Medicago truncatula: one gene and its partners. Each later gene encodes a partner of the first gene's protein in a complex. Links are inferred from orthologs where the notes say so. Each region holds a gene or a part of one and is shown on either strand. Other genes may lie near its edges.

Evidence for each region.
Region 2: gamma-tubulin complex component 3 (region 1) and mitotic-spindle organizing protein 1B share a complex: the UniProt entries of both Arabidopsis thaliana proteins name them as parts of the gamma-tubulin complex. The link is inferred for Medicago truncatula from reciprocal best matches to the Arabidopsis thaliana genes SPC98 and GIP1.
Region 3: gamma-tubulin complex component 3 (region 1) and gamma-tubulin complex component 2 share a complex: the UniProt entries of both Arabidopsis thaliana proteins name them as parts of the gamma-tubulin complex. The link is inferred for Medicago truncatula from reciprocal best matches to the Arabidopsis thaliana genes SPC98 and AT5G17410.

Annotation. Positions count from the first base shown.
Region 1 is NC_053048.1:44,058,937-44,066,759, reverse strand, and holds the start of gamma-tubulin complex component 3, read left to right. Parts: upstream 1-4,821; 5' UTR 4,822-4,977; coding exon 4,978-7,214; intron 7,215-7,303; coding exon 7,304-7,592; 3' UTR 7,593-7,769; intron 7,770-7,823. UniProt on the Arabidopsis thaliana protein: Gamma-tubulin complex is necessary for microtubule nucleation at the microtubule organizing centers (MTOCs). Required for the positioning of the gamma-tubulin-containing complex on pre-existing microtubules and for the proper organization of cortical arrays.
Region 2 is NC_053045.1:59,337,351-59,344,980, reverse strand, and holds the start of mitotic-spindle organizing protein 1B, read right to left. Parts: upstream 3,076-7,630; 5' UTR 2,798-3,075; intron 1-2,797. Other genes in the region: ABC transporter B family member 3, read right to left, coding at 4,932-5,288, 6,076-6,369, 6,486-6,749, 6,855-7,121, 7,266-7,630. UniProt on the Arabidopsis thaliana protein: Required for gamma-tubulin complex recruitment to the microtubule organizing centers (MTOCs). During mitosis, modulates gamma-tubulin complex localization, spindle stability and chromosomal segregation. Necessary for gametophyte development and embryogenesis.
Region 3 is NC_053049.1:2,946,960-2,954,023, forward strand, and holds the start of gamma-tubulin complex component 2, read left to right. Parts: upstream 1-4,020; 5' UTR 4,021-4,249; coding exon 4,250-4,312; intron 4,313-5,134; coding exon 5,135-5,272; intron 5,273-5,898; coding exon 5,899-6,030; exon of another isoform or gene 6,031-6,047; intron 6,048-7,064. Other genes in the region: G-type lectin S-receptor-like serine/threonine-protein kinase RLK1, read right to left, coding at 216-330. UniProt on the Arabidopsis thaliana protein: Gamma-tubulin complex is necessary for microtubule nucleation at the microtubule organizing centers (MTOCs). Required for the positioning of the gamma-tubulin-containing complex on pre-existing microtubules and for the proper organization of cortical arrays.

The DNA of each region.
Region 1 (7,823 bases):
ATATTTGGCTACCCAAGTTTGATTTTAGATGGAATACTTTTCTATCTAATTTTATTTACTTTTTAAACTTTGGAAATCCTGTCTTTTAGGAACTGGAGGATGAACAAAAAAGTACATATATATATATATATTCCTTGGTTGACAATGAAAATATGACAACAACAATAATCTATCACTTCCTCCCAAGATTTTTTTTATCACCATTGGCTCAAAGAGATTTAACGGCACTTTATTAACCCTTTATTATTGTAAAAACAGACTTTTTATTAACGCTTTAGTAAATTATAACCTTTTATCAACCATTTATAAGTCGTTTTTGTTGCTTTAAGTGTATTTTATGAAGTATATTTTATATACATAATAGTTATTACAATTTTTTTTGCTTATTTGTTAAATTTACTATTAATTTATTTAAAAAAATATTTTTCTTTATATGTGGCCACCTCGTGAAAATATTATCAGCTTCGCCGCCGATCATCTTCACAAACATCTTGACCATCACCATCAAACTCAACCGCACATAAAACACCTTATTCATCATTAACCGTAACCTGACTTGGATTATTTAAACCTCCACAGCCACTTTGCACATCGTTATTAACAACATTAGTTTTCACAATATTTTGACACATAACAAGAGAACGTCGTCAATGAAGGAAGGAGAAAATGTCGTCGAAGAATGTGAGCGTGACTTGAATTCTTCCATCTTTGGTGAGAGTGAGAGTTTTGTTTCAAAATTGAGAGTGAGGTAGAAAAAGAAAAGAAGATTTTATGTTTTTTTTCCCTTTCAAGTTGAGCTTTTTTGGGTTTTATTTAAAAAAACTTATCTTTTTAAAAAAACTCAATCATAAACTCGTCATAGACTCGTGATTCTATGCGAGTTTGTACGAGTCTAGCAGAAAAACAATTCTATGAGTGATTCCACTCATTTTTGCCTTCTAGACTCGTACACTCGTACGAGTCTACTCACGAATTTGAGAACCATGCTTATGTATCTTAGTTTTAAAAGCAGTAAATTAGAACTCACCAATTTAACATTAAACTTCCACATAAACATTTTTTATCTGAGTTTGTTGAAGGGAGGGTAATGGTGAAAATATTTTATGACTTAAATGACCAATTTATTACAAAAAAATAAAATGACTAACTTGTTAAAAAATTCTAAGTTAAAAGACCAGAGAAGGTATTTGATAAAAAAAATGGACTAAAAATGAAAATTGGTATATTTAGGGAACTAAAAACATATTTAAGTCATACTTTAATAAAAACATTAATCAACTTTTTTTTTCTTGAATGATATAAATTTGTAAAAATTATATCAACTTTCAACAAAGTTAATATTATAAACAACTTTATTAATTCCAGCAATATACTCGATGGCATCCTGTATTTAGAGATGTAGGTGGTACCAAACTAGGTACAAATTAATATCTTGTGAGACCCAATTTATTTTTATGATAGTCACCAGAGATACTAGCAGTGACTTGATTCCACCAATGCAGACCATTAAAATGCACTTTTAGAGCAGAGCCATTAAGTTAGCACAAATGATCGCCCTCTTTAAAGAGTAAAAAAAATAAAGTTCATATATCTAAGTTGGATGCATTAACCCAACGGCTATAATTCTTGTATGCTTGAACAATGAGTTGTGAATTAGACTCAATCCATAAATGCATCCATCCAATCTTTCTGAAAAACCAATTCAATAGCATTCATGACACAAGTAATCTCAGCATTGAGAGGAATGGAGATATCTATATTAACAGAGAAGCACCCCAGGCATTAGCCTGGTTGTCTCTGAAAATGGCACCACATGCATAAGAACTAGGACATCATCTATTTGTAGCACCATAAATGTTGCATTTAATCCAATCATTTAAAGGAGGCCGCCATAAAACTTCTTTAATCCTAGGCACAATAGGAGGATGAATGTTCGTCGGTCGAGAAGGCCTTCAAAATATGGACACCCTTAATAGAGGATGTGGTAGTTGTTAGAGCAGGTATTATTGTCACACATCATCGTATTACAAATTTTACGGCAATTTAATATCTCGATTATTCTTCTCAACCACGCTACTTGGCAAACACACGATGCAGCAACTGTAAATTCTGCTTCAGTGGTAGAAAGTGTAACTATATGTTGCTTCTAAGTTGACCAGGAAATGACAGCTGACACATTATTTGATGTGTTCTTTTTATCATCAACATCATCGTTATAATCACTATCAGTGTATGTTATTAATTCATCAGCTTCACTCTTTTTGTACCAAATACCAACTTTCACAGTACACTCAAGTATCTCATGATCTTCTTGATAACTTGCAAGTGTTTCGTAATTGGCTTTTCCATGTACTTGTTGATCAAGCATACTGAAAACGTTAAGTCATGTATGGTTGGAGTCAAATACATTAGATTCCAGCTATTTGTTTGTAGTTGGTAACATGAACTATATATATTGTCTCCTTATTCTTTTGACAGTTTGCATCCAGGCACAATGGAGTTTTTTTTTTTTTTTTTTGTGAATTCGCATTTTTCACTTGAAACCTCTCAATATTTTCTCAACATACGTGATCTGATAAATGAAAATTCCTTCATTCTTCTGAATCACCTCCACCCCTTAGAAATAACTCATTTTGCCTAGAGTAGTAATGTCGAATATACTTTTCATAAATTCTTTGAAATCCATGAACATGGTCGCATTGTTTCACATGAGGATTAAATAATCCACACAAATACTAACAATCAACAAGTCATCGTTCAAATCCGTTTTCATGAAGAAAAAAGAAGCGTGCTTGCAGCGGCGAAGCTAGCAAAAAATTTACGCAGGGGCCAATTATAAAGAAATAGTAAAATATTTTTAAAATGAATATGTTAAATCTAAGGATAAAAATGTTTTTAGTCCCATAGTTGGCCGTTTACTAAATAGATTAATAATGTTTTTTCTGATGTAAACAAATAGATTATTTGCAAGAAACTGAATGTCCATTTAATTTGTTTATGACTATTGTCTTAATAACTTTTAATGTTGAAAAAATTTTCACCATAATTATTATTGAGAGCAGAAGTATCAAACCAATATAAATAAATTTATCCATCATGTATTAATAATTTTACTTTCTTACTTATGTTAATTTTCGACAACTAAATTTGTTTGAGATGGCTTAATATTTATTATTTGGGGCAGCAGGATATAAATATATACCAACCAATTGAAGAATAATATATTTTTTGGGTAGCCAAGGCTACCCCTTGGCAAGGAAAGGCTACGCCCCCGCGTGCTTGGAGGTACGCTTCTCAAATCCCTCCTTTTGAAAATAGCTTTCAATCTTGCTATACCAAGCTTTGGGATCTTGCCTTAAACCATACAAAGCTTTCTTCAACTTGTAGACTTATCCTTACTATCCTTCTTCACATAACCCTTATGGTTCCCAACATAAAATGTATTTGTGATCTCTCCATGTAGGAAAACACTTTTCATCTCTAACTAGTATACGCTCCAACCTCTAATAGTTTGCACAACAATGGTTGTTCTTATGATATTCCATCTTGTCACTAATGCAAACACCTCGTTAAACGTATTTGGGAGTATTGTTTTGCCACTAGCCGTGCCTTGTACTTTTCAACATCTCCTTTCTCATTATATTTGGTATTAAATACCCATTTAAATCCATTTTTTTAGCTCCACCGGAAAGTGTAGTCATGCCAAGTTTCATTTCTCTCTATAAAGCTTTCATCTCAACATCCATGGCTCTCCTCCAATTGAGATTCTTCACTGCATATTCAAAGTGCACATGATCTTCAAATTGAGTAAAAGTGACTAAGGTAGGTGTGTTATTCTTCATTTGTTGTTTCAATGTCTCTTAACATATTCTTCTAGCCAACCTGGCTTTTACTTGAGTCTCACACTGATGTTCTCATTGGTTTTTCCAGCCTCACCTCATCGGTCTTATAAAAGTTCCTTCATTATCATTAGTGTCATCTTTCTCATTGTTCCTGTCTCCACCAAACTTTTAGTCTCGTCTTATTAGTCAAGCCCTTAACAATTGTTTTATGTAGTTTCTACACCAAACTTTGTGTTATGATCATATAAGCTATAGAATCCTCACTGACTTCCAACAAAACACGTTAACTTATGCTCCTATTTTCCAGCTTCTTCGTTTTGGTATCAGACACATGTACATGATCAATACATCCAAAGACTCTAAAGTGCGACACTTAAGGCTTAATACGACTCCTTTTGGATTAATGTAATGCCAAAAAAAAAAAATTAGACATTATTTGTTTTGTTACTAATAAAAGTGATGTCATGTTTTTTAAATGAATTTTAAATTTCTTATAAAAGTTATTTTATCATAGATTTTTAAAATAAGTTATAATCTTATCTTTTTTAAAATAAAAATATCAACCCAATCGAAGCAAATCAAATCTAATATGATCTTCATCAATTTAGTTTGATTCAAATTTCACGAGAAGGTTGTAAAAACAAACCAATTAATTTTTATTCATTCAAATTTATTTTCTCGCAAGAACAAAACCAAACCGCTTTACTACATCTAGAAGAACCTAAATTTAATTTTTGGATAGAACAACGATGATTAAAATACTTCTGCATAAAAATTGGAGGATTAACATAAAAAATAATTCTCATATATTTTTTTTTTACGAGATCCTCGTATATGTCATGTTGATTATCAAATGTATATTTCAATTTAATCCCCAAAATAACAAAAAAGAAATTGAAACTTAAAATATATTTGCAATTTGAATGACAATAATCACCTATCCCTTATACTACCTGTACTTTCAATTCCATGATCACACTTACCTGCAATAAAACATTCACTTTCCGCCATTAACCCAAAAAAGAAAATCATTTCCGCGCCCACCCAAAAATCAAAAAAAACCTTTCTCTCTCTCTCTTTCACTCTGAACCACACTCAAAACGACACCGTTTCATCTGACTCTCCGGCGGCAACAATGGACGACGAAGAAGAACAACAAAAACTCCCAGATCTAGTGAAAGCCCTAGTCCACCACCTCCTCTCCCAAAATCTCCCCCCAAATTCCCAACCCATAAACCCTAACTCCCCTCAATTCCAAAACTCCCTCCGTTACGCTCACCGCATTCTCTCTTCCCACTTAACCCCCTCCATCACCCCCGACTCCGCCGCCGTCGCCGATTCCATCAAACGCCGTCTCGCCACCGATGGTCGTTCCTCCGAAGCCCTCTCCTTCGCTGACCTTTACACCAAATTCTCCACCAAAGCCACTCATATCGATAATAAGTGGTCCCTACTTCATCTCTTCAATATTATCTCTCAAGATCGTAAATCCGCTGCTAAATCGAATGACCCTTCCGTTCTTCTTCCCAATTTAACGATTTCGGAGAATAACGTTCAACCGCGCGGTGAAAATAATGGATTTAATGATGGTGTTGTCATTCTTGCGAGGGATCCCAAGAATCGTCGCGAAATAGCGTTTAATGAATATGTGAAATTGATAAAGGAAGAGAATGATGTGACTGAGGAAGCTATGGTGACTGATGTGATTTATGCTTGTCAAGGTGTGGATGGGAAGTATGTGAAATTTGATGAAGAGAGTGATGGTTATGTTTTGTTGGATTCAATTAGGGTTTCTAGGGCTAGTTCTAGTATGGTTTTTAAGCTTTGTGAATTAGGGGTTTTGTTTAAGAGGGTTGTTGGGTTTATTGAGATGAGTTTGGGTAGGTTTCCCGCGGAGGATGTGGGGACGGTTGGGCAGGCTTTTTGTGCTGCATTGCAGGATGAGTTGAGTGATTATTATAAGTTGTTGGCTGTGCTTGAGGCTCAGAGTTCGAATCCGATTCCGTTGTTGTCTGAGGGTGTGAGTTCCGGGAATTATTTATCTTTGAGGAGATTGGCGGTTTGGCTTGCTGAGCCGATGGTGAAGATGAAGTTGATGGCGGATTTGGTTGAGAAGTGTAGGGTTTTGAGAGGTGGGGCGATGGCAGGTGCGATTCATTTACACGCTAGACATGGGGATCCGATGGTTCATGAGTTTATGAAGAGGTTGCTTCGGCGTGTGTGTTCTCCGCTTTTTGAAATGGTGAAGAGGTGGGTTTTGGAAGGGGAGTTGGAAGATATTTTTGTTGAGTTTTTCATTGTTGGGCAGCCTGTGAAAGCTGAATCGCTTTGGAGAGAGGGATATCGGCTCTATGATGCTATGCTTCCTTCTTTTATTTCGGCTTCTCTTGCTCAGAGGATTTTGAGGACTGGAAAGTCCATAAATTTTCTCCGTGTTTGCTGTGAGGACCGTGGCTGGGCTCGTGCCGCGACTGAAGATACAGGGGCAATGGCAAGACGTGGTGGTTTTGGTTACGGGGAAACTGATACCCTTGAGTCATTGGTTGATGAAGCTTCAAAAAGAATTGATAAGCATCTATTGGATGTAATTTATGAGAGGTATAAATTCAAAGAGCACTGTCTTGCGATTAAGCGGTATTTGTTGCTTGGCCAAGGTGATTTTGTGCAATATCTAATGGATATTGTTGGGCCTGAACTTTCTGTGCCTGCGAACACAATAAGCTCTTTCAAACTTGCAGGTTTGCTGGAAACTGCAATTCGGGCGTCAAATGCTCAGTATGATGACCCTGATATTTTGGATAGGCTCAGGGTCAAAATGATGCCACATGAAAGCGGTGATAGGGGCTGGGATGTATTCTCTCTGGAATATGATGCAAGAGTTCCACTAGATACTGTGTTCACAGAGTCTGTGATGGCGAGGTATTTAAGAATTTTTAATTTTCTATGGAAGCTTAAGAGAGTGGAACATGCACTTATTGGTGCCTGGAAGACCATGAAACCAAACTGCATAACTTCTAATACCTTTAATAGATTGCAACATGCTGTTAAGATGCAGCTAGTTTCAGCATTGAGACGTTGCCAAGTTCTTTGGGTTGAAATTAACCACTTCATTTCAAACTTGCAATATTATATAATGTTTGAAGTCTTGGAAATATCATGGTCTAACTTTTTAAGTGAGATGGAAGTAGCCAAGGATCTTGATGATCTACTTGCAGCTCATGAGAAATATATGAATTCGATTGTAGAGAAATCTCTCCTTGGAGAACTCTCTCAGTCCCTTTACAAGTCACTAATAGTAATATTTGATCTTATATTACGTTTTCGGAGCCATGCGGATATTTTATACGAAGGCATTCACGAGTTGCAAGCAAGGTATTGATCACACTTTTCTTCTTTACTGCTTCCTCAATTTCTTCTCCCCATATTGCCATGTTTAACATTTGATCATCTGTTTGTTTCAGAATCACAGAGTCCTCACTGTCCTCTCGAGACCAGAAGAAAACACGGAAGCGATCGACTGATAAGTCATCGGAAGAAGAATCCTGGATTGCTGATGGGAGAAAAGCCATAACAAAACACGCTGGTGTTTTTCTCCAAAAAATGGAACAAGATCTGGATGCAATATCTAAGGAGTATTCATCATTGCAAGAGGATTTCATTTCTCAGTTGCCTGTGCAGCAGCATGTTGATCTAAAGTTTCTCTTTTTCCGTCTTGACTTCAATGAATTTTATAGGCGGGTTGTGTCGTAGCATATAGGAAGTTTGTGAATATGATCGAGGATCAGATCGATGCATTGTTTACTTCAACAAGATAAGACATCAACAAAGCTTTGCACTTAGCTAACTTCCATTGTGTGTTTTGAGTTGAACAATTGCGGTTCTAACTTCCTGCAGACCAACGATTCAACGAGTCTTAATTAACTAAAGGTATGGTGGATATCTCAACCACTTCATTTTCCCACCAAATGTTTTCTTAGAAGA
Region 2 (7,630 bases), on another chromosome or scaffold:
AAAAATTACACATTGGATACAATTGAGTTCAAAGTGAATCCAAAAAAAAAAATATCATATCATATTCAATATGATTAAGAATATTGATCAGATGTGCTAGTGTAATTTTCTAACATTTTTAAATGAATTAACGCGATGAATCTCGCAAGAATCATGTTTAAATGAATTAACATGATAAAACCTAGCTACAAAATTAGCGAGTAGAAATTATAACATTCTAATCATGCTCTATGAAGACTGAAGAGGACAATTTGTGAGTGAGAATTATTCCTTTTTTTTTTTTGTTCAGAAAATGGTTTTAGAGTGAGAATCTCCGAATAACATATAAGAACAAAAGAGTTATTATTGATGATCAAACACAGTTGAACTCGTCTCATGGAGTTACTAGGAAACTGCCAATTTTGATGTGAATCACAATCATGACAGTAAAAGGCACAGACTTTCTTGCAACATCATGGATGATAATGAAAAGATTAAGGAACAAGTTGTGTTGCTAACAATTGATATGTTACAAGTGATTTTGATGAATTATTAAAGAATAATAGCCACAATGAAATGAAGAAGTGGGTGTTAAGGTTTAAGATTCCTAAAGACAAGATTTTTTCAAACATCACGATTGCAAGGAACGTGACTCCTATAATAACGATAATAACGATATTGAAGAGAAGAAGATTAACGAAAGTGAAACTGAATTAGGGTCAATAATTGTTATGAATTTTGAATTGAACGAGCTTCCAAGTGATGGTTTTGAAGATGAAACCAACTAGTGTCTTTTTTTTTGTTATATAAATTGAATGAGAAATGATAATATAATTTGTGTTCCATACCCTTAATGTTGTCATGTAATTTTCCTTATTGAGAATTTTTATTATTATGCCGTTTGTATTTTGTATACTGCTCAATAATACGTGTGATATTATAATTTAAAAAACTATCAAAAAGGCAAATTTAAATAACAACATCATGGCTATCCCACACAAAAATCATAATATTATTCGTAACAAAAAATATAAACAAAAAAAGAGATGATAATTGGTTTCATATTCAAAAGCATCACTTGGAAGATCATTAAAATCATAATTCATAACATGTATTGATCCGAATTAAGTTTCACCTTCATTAATCTTCTTCTCTTCAATATGGTTACAAGAGGCAATTCCTTGCAATCTTGAGATGTTCGAAAAATCTTATCTTTAGAAATTTTGAAACTCAACGCCGAATTGTTCTTTTCATTGTGGCTATCATCCTTCTATGATTCATCATCACTCGTAACATGACTAATTGTTAGCAGCACACTTCCTTCATCTTCTCTTTACCATATATCATATTGCAAGAAAGCTTTTGTATTTAACCGCCACGACAGGTGTTGAGGTTCAAGATTCCTAAAGACAGATTTTTCAAACATCACAAGATTGCAAGGAACATGACTCCTCTAATAATGATATTGAAGAGAAGAAGATTAACGAAAGTGAAACTGAATTAGGGTCAATAGTTGTTATGAATTTTGATTCGAATGAGCTTCCAAGTGATGATTTTGAAGATGAAACCAATTAGTGTCTCTTTTTTGTTTATGTTTATTGTATGAGAAATGATAGCATGATTTTTGTGTGGGATACCTTTGATGTTGTCATGTAATTTTCCTTATTGAGGATTTTTAGTTATAATATATTTATGGATTATTAAGCGGTTTTATTATGTATTTCATAAAAGGCTCAATAATACATGTGATATTATAATTAAAAAAATTGCCAACAAGGCAAATTACATAACAACATCAAGGGTATCCACACAAAATCATAATATCATTCCTAATAAAAAATATAAACTAAAAAAAGACGCTAAATGGTTTCATATTCAAAAACATCACTTGGAAGCTCATTAAAAATTCATAACATGTATGGACCCGAATTAAGTTTCACTTTCATCAATCTTCTTCTCTTCAATATCGTTATTAGAAGCGGTTCCTTGCAATCTTGAGATGTTTGCAAAATCTTGTCTTTAGAACTCTTGAAACTCAACGCCGACTTGTTCTTTTCATTGTTGTTATCATCCTTCTATGATTCATCATCACTGGTTACATGACCACTTGTTATCAACACACTTCCTTCCTTTATCTTCTCACTATCATATTGCAAAAAGCGTAATTCACAAACATTGGCAATTGATGGCTCATCACTCTTCTAATGTTCTTAGGGGAACCCTAATTCTCACTCTAAAGTCATTTTAGCCAGAAAGAAAAAAAAAAATGGTATAATTCTCACAAGTTCTCCTCTCGCTAAATTTGTGAGTTTAATTACTTTAAACATAATTCTTTTGATCTTTATCATGTAAATTCATTTAAAAATAATTAACAAAGTTCGTTTGAGTTTTACATATTAATATTGTTGAAAATCACACTAACACAACAAATCAATATTGTTAATTATATTGAAAATGGTATGATTCTTTTGTTTTTTGGATTCATCATTTGAAAGCACTTGAATCCGTTGCCATGAAAAAGGAGACCTCCATATAAGTGTTGACGGGGATTATATTCTCATAAATTAATTGTGTTCACAAGATCATTGCAAACAATCGTGACATTGATAATAACAATAATAATAATAGTAAAATTTAAGAAAATAACAAAATTCAATGCAGTGTTGCAATTGTGATTCACAGTACTCGGTACGGCAACAAAAAGTGACTCATAAAAAAACAATCAGCAATAATACTTAATTCAATTCAATGTTAAAATTGTGATTTATAAGTGATCGGTAGTAATTCTGAAAGAAAAGAAAGGATCAATCGATAAAACCTGCTGATGCGAAGGTGAAAGATGTTGCGGCGTGGCAGAGAGATTGCAGAATCAGAACCTATGCCAACTGCGAAACAGAGATGAAAGGCTTGGACGGAGCGGCGGTGGAAAAAAGAATAAGAATTAAAATTAATTTGAGATTTTAGGTCGCAAATTTTGTATTTATAGATGAGTTTAGGTCGGTAATTGTGTATTCTTTTAGGCAATTATTTTTCTCACCATACTTTCTTTGCCCTTAGTCTTATTCCCAGCATATTTTTGATGTTTGTGTTTATTAATTCGAACTAGAAAAACACGATTTAGAATCCTTGTAGTGGGTTAATAATCCAATATCACAAGTTTTGAAGTAAAAACTCATCAACTAGCCTAAAAATTGGATTTTTTTATAAGACATGGCGGAAACATCGAACAATGGCCTTAGGATGTTTAATATGATTCTTAAATTGGTTATCCTACACAAAAATGCTTAGTCTTTTGTGTTGATAGCAGGATTCAGATTATATAATCTGATATATTTTCTCATGAATTCTTAACATAAGAAGATGTATAGGGAGTTCGGATTTTATGTTTCCAAGTATGTTGTACAAGGAGTGTTCGTATTATAAAATACGAAGTACTTTTTTTTTTTCTTTTCAAATTTTATAATCCAAATTGGTGGAAAAAAACAATGTTCTACAAAAAAAGGAAAAAAAAAACTCACTTCGGATTATATAATATGAAAATCTTAAAGGCCTTTTTAAAATTGAATCAAACACATCAAATTAAATATATTTCCTCCCTTCCAAAACTCTCGAACCAAACGAAAGTTAATTACCTTTTTTTAATTAGCTTCATATTTGTTTAGGGGTAACAAACCACCTTTCCGCTCCCTTTTCACCGAGCATCACAATGGTGTGTGCTTCGTTTATTTAACATCTAAATACATACCTATGTTGTCAAACGATAATTTTGAGTTCTTCTAGAGAATGATGTTTATTAAAAGAATCTTTGTTGTTTATTTTTGCGGACCCAACTTAATAAAATATTTTAAAATAAATTAGTTTTGTTTAATGGTAATGATATGGTTATTTATAGAATTTATTTATTACAACAATTGAAATGTTGAGTTGAAGAAATTGAATGCTCATTAGATATTATTAGTTATTGATATCCAAAATTATAAAATGAACTATGTGAAATCCACTTAAGCATTTTTTTAATGACAAACATTATTATGTTATATGTTAGTATTTTTCTCATTAAACGAACTTGAACTACCCTAAATTTTTATCACCTCGGCTTCTTTAATCTTTAGGTTCAAATCAACGAACTTGAACTACCCTAAATTTTTATCACCTCGGCTTCTTTAATCTTTAGGTTCAAATCAGTTGAGTTATCCAACTTTTTTTTATACTTACCACATTTATCCAACCTTTGGTACCCATTTAAACAATACAGGAGTTCCTATGTGTCTTGTAATTGATTATCTTTTACTTACTTTTCTTTATCGTCAATAATAATAATAATCAATTATCACATTTAAATTTTAGATTTTTTAAAATAAAATACAACGTGAAAAAATAGAATTAGAAAACAAAATGATGATGTAAAGTTTTTTTATATAAAAAAAAAAAAAAAAGAGAGTAGAAAATGTACATAAACAAAGCTAAATAATATCAAATTTAATGAATTAGAAGGAGAACAGAAGATATAGTCAAAGTACCGTATGAAAAATCATATTTTTACCTAAAAATATGAAACAGTTATTAAATTAATTGATAGAAAATCAAGATTTCTTATAGAATATAAAAAGTAACAGTATATATAAATACAACAATGTGAAGAGTCTTAAGATGAAGTGGTGCTACTTAAATTGTGTTAACCCTATAATTTGTTGTTAAAATGACACAATTCATTGTTAAATGTATACTTAAGCATTTTACCAAAAAAAAAAAAAAATGTACACAATAGTGTCAATCGTACTGGAGGTAATAAGCATGTATATAAATGCTTCTATATATTAGATGCAGCAGAATGTGTGTGTATAAAAAAAAACTTTTTCAAAATAACTTATTCTAGAAACCATGCAAAAATAGAATTTTTTTTTTTTTTTTGAAGAAGCATGCAAAAATAGATTGAATAGGTTGAAAGAGTCTTAAGATGAAGCAGTGCTAGTTGTGTGCAATGCTACTAAAGAAGCATAGGTGCCACCCTTGTTGATCAATATGTCATGTTTTCCTTTCTCTTCAATCACTCCATTTTTAACAACTGCAATTGAATTTGCACCCTTTATTGTTGATAATCTATGAGCCACCACAATGGTGGTTCTGTCCACCCTCACTCTATCAAGTGCATCTTGAACCACTTTTTCAGACTCTGCATCAAGGGCACTTGTGGCCTCATCTAGTAGTAATATTCTTGGCCTGTTAACTATGGCTCTTGCAATTGCCACACGTTGCTTCTGTCCTCCAGAAAGTTGAATCCCTCGCTCTCCTACTATTGTATCATACCCCTGCATATGTTATTTTTCTAGAATTCAGAACCTCGTAAGGCATGCATCATAGGTAGCTAGTTATTTGAAATATTGCAATTCACACGTTCGTAGCAAGAGTTTTAAGAACAGGTTCAGCTCATTGAGTATTGTGTGCTATGTAGTACTGACACTTTAGATCAAAGACATGTCTAGTGTCTAACACGATGATTCTAACACATGCGGTTACACGTTTATTTTCTTAAATTCTTACTAATGCCTTCGTGTTAGAGTCAACATCGTGTCAGTTAGGACTGTTTAAAAAAAATGTATGGAACAGTTAAACCGAAGCGAACTCCACCATACCGAAAAAATCTAATTGTGACTGACAGTTCACGAACTGGACTGAACTCAGTTCGGTTCAGTTCATGAACTATCTATCATAGTTTGGTTCTTTTATGAGTGATTCGATTTTTAGTTTTTTAAACAGTCATAAAATTCAATTTGGTTTCGTTTTTGGTTTTCTTCAACAGCCCTAATTATCAATTAATAATAGCAATTTGGTACAATTAAATTCACAAAGAACTAGTTCAGTTTGAAAAAAGTACAGTTCGTTTTTTTGTAAAAATATTTTCCGTTTGGTTTGAAACCACTGAATCGGTGCACCGAACCTTTATACTAGTTTGTTTAGGTCCTGGATGAACCATTAAAGGTTTGGTTCATTCTTACCGAAGTAGTAAAAGTTCAGTTTGGTTTCCTCTCTTAACAGAACCATAAACAATTTAGTGTTTGTGTACGTGTCAATGCTTCATAAATTTCTGTAGTTTACCTGCTGCAAACTACTAATGAAGTTATGAGCATTTGCTAGTTCTGCTGCAGCTATAACTTCAGCCTCAGTTGCATTACCACCTTTTCCATAGGCAATGTTAGCTCTGATGGTGTCATTAAACAGCACAGGCTCTTGGCTTACCAGTCCCATTTGCTGCCTAAACCATTTAAGCTGTAGCTTTTGGATTTCTGTTCCATCCAGTTTAATCTGACCTGAATCTGGATCATAAAATCTTTGCAACAATGAGATCACTGTTGATTTTCCACTTCCACTTTCACCTACTAGAGCAACTGTCTGATTGAAACAACCAAACGTTAAGCTTCTCTCTTAGAAAAACCTAGATGGATTTTTTGATAGTGAATTCTTGTGAGAATTATGCACTAAACCAATATATAATATTTTTAATTTACCTGTCCTGAATGAATGGTCAAGGAAAGATTTTTGAATATATGAACATCAGGTCTGGTTGGATACTTGAAAGTGACATGATGGAACTCAATCTCTCCCTTCACATCTTCCAGTATCATTCCTGATTCATCACTGGTATCTATTTTTGATTTCTGATCAAGAATAGCAAATACTGAAGCAGCTGAACTTTTGGCTTTACTAGCTCCTGGAGCCATGAAGCCGGATTGAGATAATGCGACAGCTGCCGTTGTGAGAGAGAAAAATACCTGAAAAGAAATTAAATGTTTAATGCTAAAAGAATGTGATGAGCTCAGAGTTCAACCAAAGAGCACTATATCTGAAATGGCCTCCGAGTTGGGACCGTAACTTACTTGAAAAACTCCTGACATCGAAGTTTTGCCATTCTCAATAAGTTGGGCGCCAGCATAAAAACTGATTGCATAGACACAAAACAGAAAGAAGATTGCTAACCCAAAACCAGTTCCACTGACTAAACCCTGCCTTTTTCCTGTCTGGAATGGTACTACACATTTCTTCTGGTATAATTCCATCACTTTCTCTTCGGCACAGAAAGCAGAAACTGTTCTGATATTCCCTACTGCGTCGTTCGCTACTTGACTTGCTTCCTCGTATAGTTTCTGTGAAACATATTTAGAGCATAGAAACATCATGTCAAATGAAGATTAGTACAAATTTCATATAGAAACAAAATATGTACTAAATAAATTTAGAGACAAAAATGCATTGTGACGCAATTGAAGCACATTGTGTAAGGCACAAACCTTTGCGTCTGTGCTGAATCCTTGCATGGCCTTGATTTGAAAATATCCATTTACTAATAGTAGAGGCAACAAAACAAGAATGATGAGAGAAAGCTGCCAATTTGCCTGAAAGGAAATTACCAAGGCTGTAATAACTGTAGAGATATCTTGAACAAGCAAACCGAGTGCGTCACCAACCAAAGTTCGAATCGAAGCAGCATCAGTTGACAGCCTTGCACCAAGCGCACCACTTGAATTCTCAGCTTTATCAAACCATCCTACTTCCATGTGAATTATTTTCTCGAAGCACATTAACCGGATTCTTTTTATCAATTTAGAACCAGCTACAGCAAAAGAGTATGACCTTAACGGATGAAAAATGAAAG
Region 3 (7,064 bases), on another chromosome or scaffold:
GTGAAAGCAACCATGGAGAGGTGTTGGTTTCTGAAATATGAAAATCACCAGCTGCTATGGTACTTTTGGTTTGAGCTACAACACTGATGGATTGAAGAATCAGTGAGAAGAGAAAAAAGGGAAGAAGTAGAAAGAAAAAAAAAATTATCAAAGCACTAAAATATAAAAGACAGGAGATGCCTGAACCAATACAACAAAGTCAGTAAGTGTATAACCTGCGAAAAGGAAAATTAGATCTATCCCTGTAACGGAAACATCTAGAGGAAAGAGGTGGCTAAGTCCACCATAATACAGAAAAGCTAAACAGATTGTAGAATCAAATTGATCCATATGATTTATAAAAATTTCATCATCATTAGTCTTTCTTCTTTTCTTTTTTTTTGGCACCAAGTCATTAGTCTTTCTTCTATTTGTTAAATATTCTGTGTAGACTTGGTCATCTCATACTAATAGACAAAAAATGTTATAGAAAAAGAAATGAGAGTAATAATAGACAAAAGATAATAAATGGTGGTGATTATAATAGAAAAAAGACGTTAAAACCCATTGAAAAAAAATATGGTTCTACATGAAAAATTCAAGATTTTTTCCATACATGTTTAAGACATTAAAGTATGGATTTGCACAAAAAAAAATTGGAATTTTTCAACTAGGATAAATTAATTATGAATTTTTAAAACGGTAAAAACTTAAAAAACAAAATAACGGAGATTTTGACTTATAAATCAAATTTTTAGTTATTTGTTTGGAGAGACATCTATAAAAATACATAAAAAAGATTTGCATAGTTTCATGAGATTTCAAAAATGTTTTGATTTATTTTTACTCTCAAACCAAAATATGCAAAATTGTAATTTTGTTTCGAATAAATGTATACTCATAAGTCAAATTTCATTCTTTAATTGTGTAGTCATGGCTAGAACATCGTAAGAATCTTCACGATAAAATTTTAAAGTTTTAAGAAAAGAGAGAGATTAATCATGGCATAAAAAATCATAATTATCAGTCCCTAGTGGAATTTTTTTTGTGTGTAGTCTTATTACAAGGTTAGTATATTTGTTTTTTTATTTATTTTACTGAGACATTTTTCAGACATCAGGTTAATTTGAGCAATTGACCCTGTAAATAAATTAAATATAAAAGGATCCCTAAAAAAATTATATATAAAAGGAATACATTATTTGAATTGACTTTTTCATTTCTTATTATATCTTGTAACAAACTTACCTATAATCTATTACTCTCTCCTTATTTTATTAAACTTGTTTTGATATTTTCACACATATTATGAAATATAGTTAATTTTGTATTGCAAAGAGAAATTATAAATGATTTCACAAAATTATCCCTTATTAATGATATGTGAAAAAAAGATTAAAAAATTGAAAAAAATAGAGTAATAAATGGTAAATGGTACGATAGGAATGATGCATTTCAATTCTAAAGCGACTTATAATAAAACCAATTTTTTTTCTTTTAAAGTGACTTACAATAAAATACGAAGGATAATGCCTATTAAGTATGCATAAACATAATACACCCATAACGCTAGAATTCGGACTCAAAAACACACCAATAAACTATCATATGTGGAGCAAAGGAAAGTAATAACCAGTATCAAAGTAACCACAATGAGCAGCAACAACAACAACAAACCTAGATTTAATCTAGGAATAAAGTGAAGAGTACAAAACCACAAGCAAAAGATAAAGAGATAAGAGAAACAAACACACATAGAAATGTTTACCCAGTTCGGCCCAACTTGACCTACTATGGGGAGAGATTGATCTCTCCAAGCCATTATCAATGAGTTCTTACAAAGAGATACAAAAATGTTACAAGAAATTGGGGAAATGTTTACAAATGTTTTCCTACCCAAGAAAACCCCTCAAAAGAACCTTAATCAAAGGGGCAATGCTATGTTGTAGGAAAGATGGCCGCAAGAATAGCAAGAATAACATTGTCCGCTCTTTTCTAAAAAATAAAAAAGTATTAATCCTTATGTAATGGAAATCACGCCCATGTGTTGGTGAAAATGCACGGCTTGGATATTTTCGTGCGTTTTGTCTCTTCGGGTTCCCTTAAAAACAAGCATTATCCTAAGCAAAAACCCTTAACTCTAAAGTTATCTAATTTGATTTTTTTAAGTTTCTTTCTCTTGAAGCCTTTTATAGTGCTCAGACCCGGCAAAAATGTGCCCCAATTTCAGCAAATTGTGCCCCAATTTACCCAATAGTACCACAGTACACATATTTCCTTATCCAAAATCGGACTTCGATTTTACCAAATTGTGGTCTGAAAAATGTCGAAAGAACACTCCAAAAGTGGGCCAAAATCGTGGCCTGATTTTGGCCTACCCTCTATTCATCAAATTTGAGTCATAATACAACATTTTTTATGTATTTTTCTTTTCACATTTTAGCGTACTATATTAAGGTTAAATATGTTTTTGATCTCTATAAATATATCACATTTAGTCCTCATAAAAAACATTGACATATTTATGTCTCCATAAAAAATAAAAAAAAATTAGCATGCTTATGCAAATATTTTTAAAAAAGGCTAACCATATTTTTAAAAAAGACTAACGAGTGTCTTTGGGGTATTGATTAAAGTATTAAAAGTGGTAAATTTATCTAAAAAAACGTGTAATTATTGGAGTAACTTATATTTTTAAGACAAAATTTCATTTAATGAAATCATTAAATAATGTCCGTAGGGCAATCGTTAACAAGATGTACCAAAGGAAACTTAAAAAATTCTTATGGCAATTAGAAACGAAATGTAATGTAATGTATTTATATTTATATAAATTATAAAGGTGTTTAACCCGATTTAAGTTTTCAAATCCACGGTGGTAGTTGAGAGCTTGAAACGTGTTTCTTCTAACGTATCAGGTTTGATTTTTCCCGATATCAATTTCGATGAGTTTTTTTTTTTTTTTTTTTTAAGTTTTCAAGATTGATACTATTAATGAGAAAGAAAAAAAAAAAGAGTAAATTACACTTCCCTCCCCTCAAAGATGCTTGAATTACACTACCCTCCCCTCTTATGTTAAAATATACATTCCCCTATCCTCTTATTCAAAACTTATTTGAATTTTTTTCACTCCCCTCCCCTAAGAGAAGCTTGAATTACATTCCCCTCCCCTCTTATGTTAAAATATAGAGTAAATTACACTCCCCTCCCCTCAAAGATGCTTGAATTACACTCCCCTCCCCTCTTATGTTAAAATATACACTCCCTTCCCCTCTTATTCAAAACTTATTTGAATTTTTTTCACTCCCCTCCCCTAAGAGAAGCTTGAATTACATTCCCCTCCCCTCTTATGTTAAAATCTACACTTTACTCCTTCAATATTAATTTTTATTTTATTTTTAATAATCTAGCAAAAAAATAATAATCTAACACACTTCAAAAAAATAGTATTGTGGGTCTATTTTAATATAATAAAAATTGAATACATATTTTTCGCTATTTTTTATTCACAATTTCATTAACATGTAGTTTTAAACCCTATTATAAAATATAAACAACCAAAACTAAAATTAAAATATGTGAAAAATTACTAAAGACAAATTAAAAGTTAATTTTATACTCTAAATTATAAAATCAGTAGCAAAATGTTTAAACTTAATTATCATTGACATTTAAATTATAAAGAAATGAATTAATTTTTCTTAAATGGTGGTTTAAAATTGAAATATATTATAAAAATATTTATTTATGTTTAAATAGATTAAAGTGTAGTCCATAGTTAATTATTAAGGGAGAGTGTTGTAATTTAAACATCTTATAAGGGAAGGGATTATAAATTTTATTTTTCAAGAGAGGGGAGTGTATATTTTAATATAAGAGGAGAGGGGAGTGTAATTCAAGCATCTTTGAGAGGAGGAGAGTGTAATTTACTAAAGAAAAATAACTTGGACAATTTCAGAGATAAAATCAAAGTGAGTTTTTGACTTAAAAATAAATAAAATAAAATAAAATAAAAAGGAGTTATTTTGAAAAGTGAAGAATGGAATGGAGAGATTCCTGAAAAGAAGAAACCAGACAAAATTCAAAATAATAGAGAGAATAAAGAAGTAAGAAGAAAATCTAGTGAGTTAACAACTTCACTTCACTCTCTCTGCATTTATCTTCCCATAGTTCATAACATCTCTTTCCCATTTCGATTCGCAAATAATCTTTAAAAAAGCGATTACTGAAAAGCGCTTTTTCTTCCGATCTGCTTTCACTGCATTTCAACATGAATCAAACCGCCGCCGCAGGGTTTGAAAATCTTATCGGCTATTACGATCCTCCTGTTCAAGTACGTTCCTCCCTCTCTCTCTCTCTCACTTATCGAACCATTCTCAGATCTATTGTCACCTATCAACTTTTTGTTCTCTTCATTTTGGTGCTTGTTTTTCGAATTTCTGTGTAGTCTCTAAGAATGTGATTGCTCAAGTATTCTCTAGTAGTGTAATTGCCTTCGATTCTATTCAATTTTTACCTAACATTTTATCTTAGTTCAAAAACCTAACTTCAATTCAAAATACATATGTTTATACTGTATATAAGCTTTTTTATACGGCACATTGCTCGGAATTAAGAAAATGTACTATTTGTTATGCCAAGGGAAGGACCTTTTTTTTTTCAATTTTTTTTTTTTAACAAATTAGACAAAGTGAACTATGCTATGATTATTGGTAAGAAATTAAGGTCCTGGCTATGCTTTGTAGTGTCATCAAGTAGCGGCTATAGCAGAAACAGAATTTTAACATATCGTTATGGTTTTATGACACACATTTTAGTTCAAAGTATCCTCAAATATCGGATATAGGAAAGCATAGCATAATTTGAACAAACTACTACATTGCAATCTGTGATTGACAACAATGTTATTCTTTCATCAAACTGCATAGATTAGGTTTTTTAAATATTTTTGAAAATTATTTCACTTTGTGTCCTCTATATGCTGCCATCTTATTTGGCTTGGTGTTGTATTGGTTTTTAAAGTTTTCTCTTTGTGTGTGTATGTATTCATTTCTATTCATATGTATTCAAGTACTGTGTATATCTGCATTCATATTCAATTTAGGGTTTCAAGATTTAAAAATTTAAGCTATTGTTTTGTTCTACTGAAATATAGGAGCTTATTGTTATTGATGAAGTCCTCTCTGCTATGGTTGGAGTTGAAGGGCGTTACATTTCAATCAAAACACTTCGTGGAAAGAAGGATGAGATTATTAATTTCCTGGTTGACCCATCTATGGATTTGGCACTACAGGTGAGATTTGCATAATTTTTCGCTACCATGGTTTGACCCGCAATCATAACATTAAAGGTGTTAAACCTCCCCCTTTTTCTTTATGGTGATAATAACTGATAACTGATAGGAAGTTTAGATGGCAAGCCAAACTATAGCGGTAACGGAAATACTTTCTATACATTTTTTTTTTTATAGACTAGAAGTTTATAAGGTGTTTAATATGTTCAGTATCATAACCTAGTGCTAAAATAAAATAGGTTCATTAAAGCCATTTAGGTTTTACTTTCATGTTTCTGTATTATTATTTTTTGTAAACTTTAGAAATGGAATATGAAGCATCTATCTTGCAATTCAAATACTGCAATGCTTTTTAATTTAAGTTGCACTCTGTGTTTGGCAGTAATTCAAAATAAAGGAAATTATTTTCTGCAACCATGTTTTCTATATTCGGTCATTGTTTCAAACTGTGATTTGCATCCATAACTCTGCCCCCGAATTGTGTTTTTGGAGGTATCTATTTGCTAAGAAAGCTGATGGGGAATGTAAATTGTCCTATGCTATAGCTGTATTATTCAGATTAGATAATGAACAGTATAATTTAATACAATGATAGAGCTGAGTCTGAGCCAGTTTTGTTGTTGCAGGAGTTGGCAAAACGGATATTTCCTCTATGTAGGAGCTTTTTGTTGATCAACCAATTTGTGGAATCAAGGTCTCAGTTCGAGAATGGCCTAGTCAATCATGCCTTTTCTGCCGCACTTAGGGCATTCCTTCTCGTATGTTTTTCTGAACAGTGAGTCAGTTGGTTGATTTACATTTCGCATGAAGTAATTGTTTGCTTCTTGAAAATATGTTTTCATGTGTCTGTGTGTCTATATATATTCACCTTTTATAAATGGCCCTTAACTTCTTTTGGTAACCTGTTATTGTCTGGTAGACTAATTATTTTTCTTAAGTATTTCAAGTGTTAATGTTTAGTGCATGATGCTGGCTCAGTATACCTGAAGTAGCACCTTCTGATTCTTTTCCGAACGAAGCTTACAGCACACTACCTTTATTTATCTTCTGTTGGGGGCAGGGGATATAAATAGATCATAGTTTCTACGAGGAACTGTTGTTTAGTGATCACTTTTATTTATTTATTTACTTTGAGAATACTCTTTCCTAGGGAATGGCAATCAAACTTTAGTTAAAAGTGTGCATTTAGTTTGTTAATTTTCTCCCCGGTGCCAATTTTGGTGGGCTAGTTTAGCTTCTTAAAAATAAAAGTTTGGTAATTTTCATTTTCTGGACTACAGATTTCTAAGATTGAAAATCAGTAGAGTTAGTTGTCCTGTAGTGTTATGCAAAACCGGCGCTTTAGGTTTAAGGTGTGCCCGACACACACATGACATGTGTCTGACACTCAATTTTAGTGTTGGGATATAATTTGTTTAGGCTTCGATATGTCGAGGACACTGCTCTGACATCTAGCATACCCTTCCGTTTGGCCTGAAATTAAAAGGAACATGGTTGGTACCAAAAACTTTTTTTTTTTTTTAAATGGTGATGAAAGTCCTTTCATTGACTTAATATACTTTTTCACTATTTGGTAATAGATGGATGGATTAAAGGTGATAGACAAAGGTTCAATATCTCATCATATTGTATTGAATCTTTTTTGCAAAGAATTTATCTAAAAAAAAAAAGAATATTTTGTTGCAAAGAATCAAAGTGCTTAACTAACTAGTATTTTTAGGCGTGACTCGTTATGGTAGGAAAATGTAATACTTCAAGTTCTTTCTGTTTGTGTGTCATGGAGTGCTATATT